Cricetulus griseus: one gene and its partner. The protein of the gene in region 1 interacts with the protein of each later gene in a pairwise test. Links are inferred from orthologs where the notes say so. Each region holds a gene or a part of one and is shown on either strand. Other genes may lie near its edges.

Region 1 (3,649 bases):
TTGTAAATACTTTTGCTAATTTGCTAGAATAATATCCTGGCAAACTGAGCTATATATAACAGTTTGAGTAGAGGATTTGGATATACTTAATGTTTATTGTGAGATAGTCACGGAAATATATTTACTGAGCAGTAGATTTGATAGTATCAATAAGCTACTTTAATCTTCTGATTTTACTTACCACATACTGTAATATATAAATATTACAAATATACATTAGCTCTGAGCTGGACATATTTTACTTGTCCTGCATTAACATTTATACATTAAGTCTCTATTGCAGCTCTTGAGGAAGATTTGTTTACCTGTATCACAGATGATTTCAAATGGCCAGTATACCATAACTTGACCTAAGTGTGCCTGTTGGACAAAGTTTATGTATGTAAATGCCAGGGTTACAACAAGACTAGCAGATATCTCTCAGGAACTAGAGAAAGAGCATTGGCAGAAAAGTGACTTAAAAGTTATGTGCAGCATTGCCATGACTGTAATTGAACAGTTTCCTGTCGCCCCCCCCCCACCTTTCTGTGATATACAGAAAAAAGGTTGAAACTTTGCATTAGATATTTGATTAGTAGCTAATGGCAGAGTAGATTCAAATAGTATTTATAACCTTAAACTATTCAATAGTGAAAGCAAAGTTGATTTTTATTCTTTACAGGTGTCCGTAAGTGGCCTCTAAGGAATAATGGTTATGTGATTGATTTTTAACTTAAAATCTTTAAAACGTGATGAAACAATAAGCAGCGAGTCTCCTATATTGCACACAGTGAGGCATCAGCTTGATAACATCGTCTCTTTTGCTGTATTCTGATAAAAATAAGTTAATGTGATACAAAAATATTGTGACTGGTAAAATTCATTCAATATAAGTAATAGTTGTCTACTTGGAAAGCTTTTCACTGAAAGCTTAAACTTTACTCTAAAAATGTTGAGATTTGTCCAGTGTAGCTGGAAGATTTTGCTAAAATTATATATAAATGGCTAAAATAAAAGTTGGCAGCTGGGTGTGGTAGTGCACACCTTTAATCCCAGAACTTGGGAGGCAGAGTTCCGAGTTTGAGGCCAGCCTGGTCTACAGAGCAAGTTCCAGGACAGCCAAAGCTACAGAGAGAAACCCTATCTTGAAAAAAACAAAACAACAACAACAAAAAAGTTGGTAAAAAATTTTGTAACACAAATGTTTTGTGTTACTTAAAAAAAAAAATTGGTTTTAATTGTCCCAGATATGTGTTTGTTTTTGTTACTAAAATATGACCTGAAAGCTGGCCTTAGTGGCACTTGCTTGCAACCCTAGCTACTTGGGAGATTTAGATAGGAAGATCTCGAAAGTCCATAGAGTTGAGACCAACATGCATAGCATGGGGGAAAAAAAAAAAAACATAAAATAATAATAAAAACTTAAAAAATGAGTTTTCTCTAGATTTTTTTTTTTTTTTTAATTACCGCTGTGTGAGTCCAGAAGAGAGTTTAACAGCTGGAGTTAAAGGTGTTGTGAGTTGCCAGACATGGGTGCTGGGGATTGAACATGGGTCCTGTGCAAGAGCAGTGTGGACTCTCAACTATGAGTCATCTCTTCAGCTTCTTTAGAAGAGTTTTTGATAAAATTCTTTATATAAACTCATTGAAATTTTTAAAAATGGTTCTTTTGGGTTTTTTTCAACAAAGCAAATTGTCTATTTACTTATATCTTAATTTCCTCTAATTTTTCCCTTCTGCCACACTTATATCTAAGCTTTTGTACCACTAGGGTTGGAGACTTCCATGATTCCTGTCCTTGGTGTCAATACTATAGAGAATTTGAAGTTGACTGCTTTTTAAAAATGCACTTGCTTTTTAAAATGTTATTTATGCATTTTAAGACAGACTCTTGCCATGTAGCCTTGGCAGATCTGGAACTTATATGTAGACCAGGCTATCCATGAACTGGGCAAATTCTCTGCCCACTGAATTCTGGGATTCTAGGCATGAACTACCATTCCCAGCCTTTTTGAAAATATATTTGTGGAAATGCCTTGATTATATATATTATATAAACATCGATCCAGTGATGATGATTTATAAAAAGAACTTCATATTAAAAACTAATTTTATTCTAAAAGTTTGTAGTTATAACTTTGATTTTAAAATACTTTTATATGGGACTGGAGAGATGCCTCAGTGGTCAGTTGCACTGACTGCTCTCTTAGGGGAATGGGTTTGACTCCCAGTACCCAAATGGCAGCTCACAAACATTGACAGCTCTAGTCCGGTGGGAGGTGCAGGGGGTGGGGGGGACACAGCTTCTTGTTTTGGCATCCATGGGCACCAGGCAAACGTGGTGCACATATATAACATTCAAGCAAAACACTATACACATAATGTAAATAAAAATTAAAAATTTTAAATAAAATATTTGTATAAATAGGAGTGTGTTATACATAAACTTGAATTTCTAATTTAAAACATTTAGACTGATCAGAAGAAGGAAGCTGCTGTTTCTATGCAAGAAGAATCTGATCTTGAAAAGAAAAGAAGAGAAGCTGAGGCACTGCTTCAAAGCATGGGGCTAACTACAGATTCCCCTATTGGTAAGTATATCTACTTATGGGTGTTGAGCTTAGATATATCTGAGCTCAGTGTATTGGTTAGATATCATTTGCATATGTTCTTTGTCTCAAAAACATTAATCTTATCATTTGCTTGGATTTCCTTTTTTTCCCAGATATATTATGTATAGTTATTTTATTTGTTTGAGAAATCAAGATTAATACCTACTAACACAAACCAAGCTACCAAATTGAATTTTCTAATTTAAATGAGTAACTTACTATTCACCATACTATGTTAAACTTGAAGATGAGTATTTCCTAATCTTAACTGTGAGCTCCTTTTTGTAGGCTAGGGAAAGATAATACCAAGTCAAAGTTATATCACTAGTACTCAAAAGCAAAGGAGCAGGAAGAGAAATCTATAGTATTCTCTCAAATCAGTAAGAGGCATAATCCTGGCTGCCTCTCTTGACAGTCATTTCACTTGGTCTTGTTCTTTTCCTGGGTTATTCATTTTGATAGTTATATTAGACAAGTAGACTGTGTAGAGATACTGAGAATGATCTAGTTATACATCAGAAAGCATTTAATGCTTACTTAAGTAATGTAGTTCTGTGTTGGGTGCTGCTACAGAAAATGTATTTTAGTGTGACAATGACCTTTAGGGACCTGGCATTTCAAGGTTAGTTTTTGAGCTAATATCTTTGTATGTTTGTGTGTGTGATGTGTGTTTTTTGTGTTTGCAGGTAGGTGCCATGCATGTAGAAACCAGAAGTGTAGTGAGATGTTTTACTCTTTTGGCTTTTTTGGGGGGCCAGCCACCTAGCTCCCAAATAAATACACATGGAGGCTTATTCTTATTTATAAATGTCCAGCTTTGCTTGGCTTGTTTCTATCTCCTCTACTTTTTCCCTGTGGGCTTTTTTCTTTCTTACTTCTGTGTATCTTACTTTCCTTCTTACTCTGTGGCTGTCTGGATGGCTGGGTTACTGGCCCACGATGTCTTCCTCTCTTTGTTTTCTCGTTGCTCTTCTTCCTCGTTTCTCCTTCTATTTATACTCTCTGCCTGCCAGCCCTGCCTATCCTTGATCCTGCCTCTCTATTGACCAGACTCTCAG
Region 2 (4,098 bases), on another chromosome or scaffold:
GTTAACAGCTCTATTTGATTCTAAGTTCTTACATAGAGAGTGGTGAATTGGGGGACCTGGGATTAATGAACCCAAGGGTTCAGTTAACAGCTGTATAGGCTTTACAAGTCACTTCATCTCTCTTTAACTCCTGGTTTACTTGTAAAATAAGAGAAAGGGATTAGAAAACTAATGAGCCTTCTGACTTTGCTACTGGAGAACAAAATAGAAGTCACTGTAGTGGGCTGAATGTTGCTCTATACCAAACACATCCACATTTGAATCCCAGACCCTGGGAATGCACTAGTTAACTTGCATGGCAAAAAGCATTTTTGTGGATGTGGTTAGCACGTATACCTCGAAAATTATGAAATGATATTTTGTTGCTTTAAACCATTGTATCTGTGGTTATCTATTATAGCAGTAACAGGAAACTCACAGTAGTGTTGAAGCCCTTGAGCTTTGCTATCAGAATATAGTATTTGAACTGATAGACCTCTTCTAACACATTCTGTATGTAAGGCTTTGGGCAAGTCATTGAAAATCTCTGCATTCTAGCTGCATCTTTAATACGGGGACAAAGGGAGTGCAAATCTCAGTTACTTGGAATTTGAAGAAAATCTCAGAATCAGCCACAATTTAGTAGTCCTAAAATAAATGTAAACAGAGTGCTCCTGCTAAGGTTTATAATTCAATTTAGGGCATTTGCTCCTGTTTCAAAAGTTTTATATTTCTTTTTTAAAAAAAAGTCTTGAAAGAAGAGGAGCATCAACTTTAGTTGTGTAGAGTATCTTTTTGATCCTTATAACTAGTTACAAAATAGAGGCTATTGTCTACCATTTGAGAAAATTGAATTCGGATGTTTGTTCACTTGCTACATTCATTTGCTGGATAGCTGTGGATGAAAATTGTGTGCATAGGACCACAGCAGTGATACCTAAATCACTTGTGCTGAATCTAGCCTGGCTGACACAAGGTCACCCTAACAAATCCCCACAGATGCTGTTCCAGCTCTTTACTTTCAGAAGACAGGCATGGTCAGATGTGCATTCTAGGCCTAGGAGCTACCCGTAGCTGCGTTAAGAGGATCAACTCAACCAAAGCCCCTCCCCCCTGACCTTTGGCCCCCACCCCCTCCCGTCCTTGGAAGGTTGCTTCAGTGCGACACAAAGGCGGGGCCTACGTAGACAAAAGCCCTGGGCCAGAAGTGGAGGCGGGGCCTCATGGGAGGTCTGTGAGCCGCTGCTGAGCTCTCGACCAGAGCTTTGCTCCGCCCCCGGGGACTGCCAAAGCCACCATGGAGGAGTACCACCGGCCCTGTGACGAGGTACCGCCCCTCCAGAGCCGGGAAGCGCCCCTCGCCCTGGTTATGGGGACGCTATCGGGTGGTCTCTTAATGCTTGCAGAGTTGGGATGCGGAATCCCGTGAACCTGAGTCTGCTCCGCAGGACCGGGATCTTTCTTGCCCCTCGGCTCTCTGTCTCCCCAACCCTGAAAGCCTGAGGGTGGGCTAATTGGTCATCGCGATGGCCTGGGTGACAGAAAGCTCTCGGGGGCAGTCTGCAGGGTCTAGGAGGACCCAGTCGGTGTAAGGGGGAGGCCTAACTTGAGGTGCCTGGGCGGGCGTTGGCGAGCCCCGCCCGTCTGCGATCTGGGCCTGGGAAACCGGTTTTTCTCTGTTTCCTCCACCCTTTTGGGTCTCCTTGAGCCGCCGGTGCTGCAAGGTGGCTCTGGTCTTGGGAACTCTCCCCAGGCACGACTAGAGGAAGTGCTTTAAGAATTAAGAGCCCTTGCTCACTGATTCAGGTTTCCCTAAGCCTCACCAGAACTCTATGATGTCAGTGATTTTCCTGTTACTGATGGGAACTCTGACTTTTCATGGCGACCAAGTGACAGGTCCTAAATTAAAACTGCTAGGAGTGACCAATGTTCCATTGGAACCCAGGTGTCTGACTTTACACTTCAGCCCATATTTCAGGATGAGGCCTGTTGAATTGCCCCACAACCTATAAGAGTTTACAAGGACGGAGTAGACAGACATTTTCTGTCCAGTGGTAGCCACTGGTGAGTGATACAAGAAAATGAAAGATGAGATGGTGCAGGCACAATGTAATATGATCTTTGTAAAGGGCTTGTCCAAAGGGTGAGTTTCTGCAGAAGAATCTGTGTTGCAGAGAGCATGCATATGTATAGGTCAGTCACATACTAAAGTTAGAATTAAGGACTTGTCCCCCAAATTACATGGTTAGCTCTTTCTCAGATTTACCTCTTAGCAAGGGTGCAAGGGAATCTTTTCTGCACTACTTCCTAAATACATGTAATTTTAAAAGAAATAGGAATGGAGAGATAGCTCATAGGTAGAGTGCTTGATTAGCACATTAGAAGCCCTGAGTTCCATCCCCAGCACCAGAAAAAAAGATGGAAAACCAACATACATTATTCGTGTTTTCCTGGCCAACTAAACATTCCAAATTGTAATGAAATGTGCATCATTTATTTCTTAGGCCAATTTTGGGTGTGATTTTGAAGCAAAAATGACTATAACAGGTCTAAAATATGAGACCTCTTTTCAAAGCTCCTCTAAGTTTGTAGGGGGTGGGAAATTTTATAGGATAATTAGTAGAGTTAAAATATGAAAAATCTATACTTAAAACATAACTTTAGAATTTACTTATTTCAACTAGTTTTAAGTTGCATAATGGCTTTTGGAAATCATATATTAACTAAAGCATCCTGGTTTATATTTTGTTCTTATCACGTAACCTAATTTTACACTTAAGGACACTTAGGTATCATTGAAAATTGCAATTAACCCACGATTGTAACAAGCTGCTACCCCAAAAATGAGAGACCAACTTATACAATTAAAGTGACATTATTTTGAATGGCAGAGTATTGCCATAATCTTTAATTTGGAAAAGCAGTGGGTTTGTCTCATATCAGTTGAAAATAAAATTGGCAATGACAATTTAGCATACTCTTTTTTTATGGGCCACTTGATCTACCTGAAATGATTTCCTGTATACTGATAGCACACAATAGAAATCATAGCTACTGCCTGCTAATTTCTTGAGCTTTGCTAATGCAATGATTATCTAGAATGTTCATTAGAAGCGCTGTTGTGAAAGCACTTTTCAAAATGGTATTTGCGTATGGCCTGCCCAATCATAATGAATCTGAAACTACAGGGAGCAGGGTTAGCAACTCAGGAGACCTGATGTCCCTAGCACTGTGGTCTTCTGTCACTATCACTTTCTTAGGCCAGCTGAGGGCATCCTGTATCTCGCCATATCTATAAATAAAGGGAAGCCTTACTGAAAGCAGTTTTATCGTGTTTTCTCTTTAGGTTGGCTTCAATGCTGAAGAAGCACATAATATAGTCAAAGAGGTGAGTTATATTTGCTGTTATCTCCAAGCTTGTGTGGATAGAAAAAAATTATATCCAGGTTTTGATTTTTCAGGTCAAAGCTAGAAATATTAATGATCAAACACCAAGATTTAAAATATTTATTCACTCTTTGTAGGGGTGTGTGTGTGGTCTCTTGCATTCAGGGAGGCCTATTTGGACCTTCTCTGAAAGACATGCTGAAACAATGTTTCAAGTCTGCAAAAAGTAAAGAAGCTCTTTTTTGAATCAATTTTAGCTAAGGACCTTTACTGATTCTAGTGTTAGCAATATAGACCAGCCTGTGGTTATCAATATAGCCTCCCCTGGGGTGTGAGGTTATTAATATAGACTACCCTGGCGGTGAGGTACTTTAAGAACACTCTTACAGCCCAGAGTCATCATTAACTCTGCCAAATCATAGGTAAAAACGCTGAGTTGGCCCACAAGGCTTGCTTTAGTTGTGGGTGTGGCTCTTGGGGCCTATGTCCTAGCAAGCCCTGATTGAGTTCTGTCTGGGCTGCATTGGCCCCACCTTCTGGGCATTGTGTGCATATGTGCCACCAATTCACCTTGCACAAGTGCTCTAAGGGCATCATTTTATCCAGAGCTCAGCTGGCCTGACCCTGTGTGAGTAGGACCAGCTCGACATCTCAGGGCTAGGCAGCACCAAAAACCATTGCTATATTTTAATAGTTGAAGAATTGTGGATTAGAACATTTAGCTATTTAAAA

Evidence for each region.
Region 2: the proteins of Dync1i2 (region 1) and Dynlt3 interact in binary tests that used the Homo sapiens proteins (3 or more experiments, as listed by UniProt). The two-hybrid records come from large-scale screens. The link is inferred for Cricetulus griseus from reciprocal best matches to the Homo sapiens genes DYNC1I2 and DYNLT3.

The regions. Positions count from the first base shown.
Region 1 is NC_048599.1:103,968,109-103,971,757, reverse strand, and holds part of Dync1i2 (cytoplasmic dynein 1 intermediate chain 2), read left to right. Parts: intron 1-2,452; coding exon 2,453-2,570; intron 2,571-3,649. UniProt on the Homo sapiens protein: Acts as one of several non-catalytic accessory components of the cytoplasmic dynein 1 complex that are thought to be involved in linking dynein to cargos and to adapter proteins that regulate dynein function.
Region 2 is NC_048604.1:115,452,940-115,457,037, reverse strand, and holds the start of Dynlt3 (dynein light chain Tctex-type 3), read left to right. Parts: upstream 1-1,161; 5' UTR 1,162-1,276; coding exon 1,277-1,306; intron 1,307-3,325; coding exon 3,326-3,367; intron 3,368-4,098. UniProt on the Homo sapiens protein: Acts as one of several non-catalytic accessory components of the cytoplasmic dynein 1 complex that are thought to be involved in linking dynein to cargos and to adapter proteins that regulate dynein function.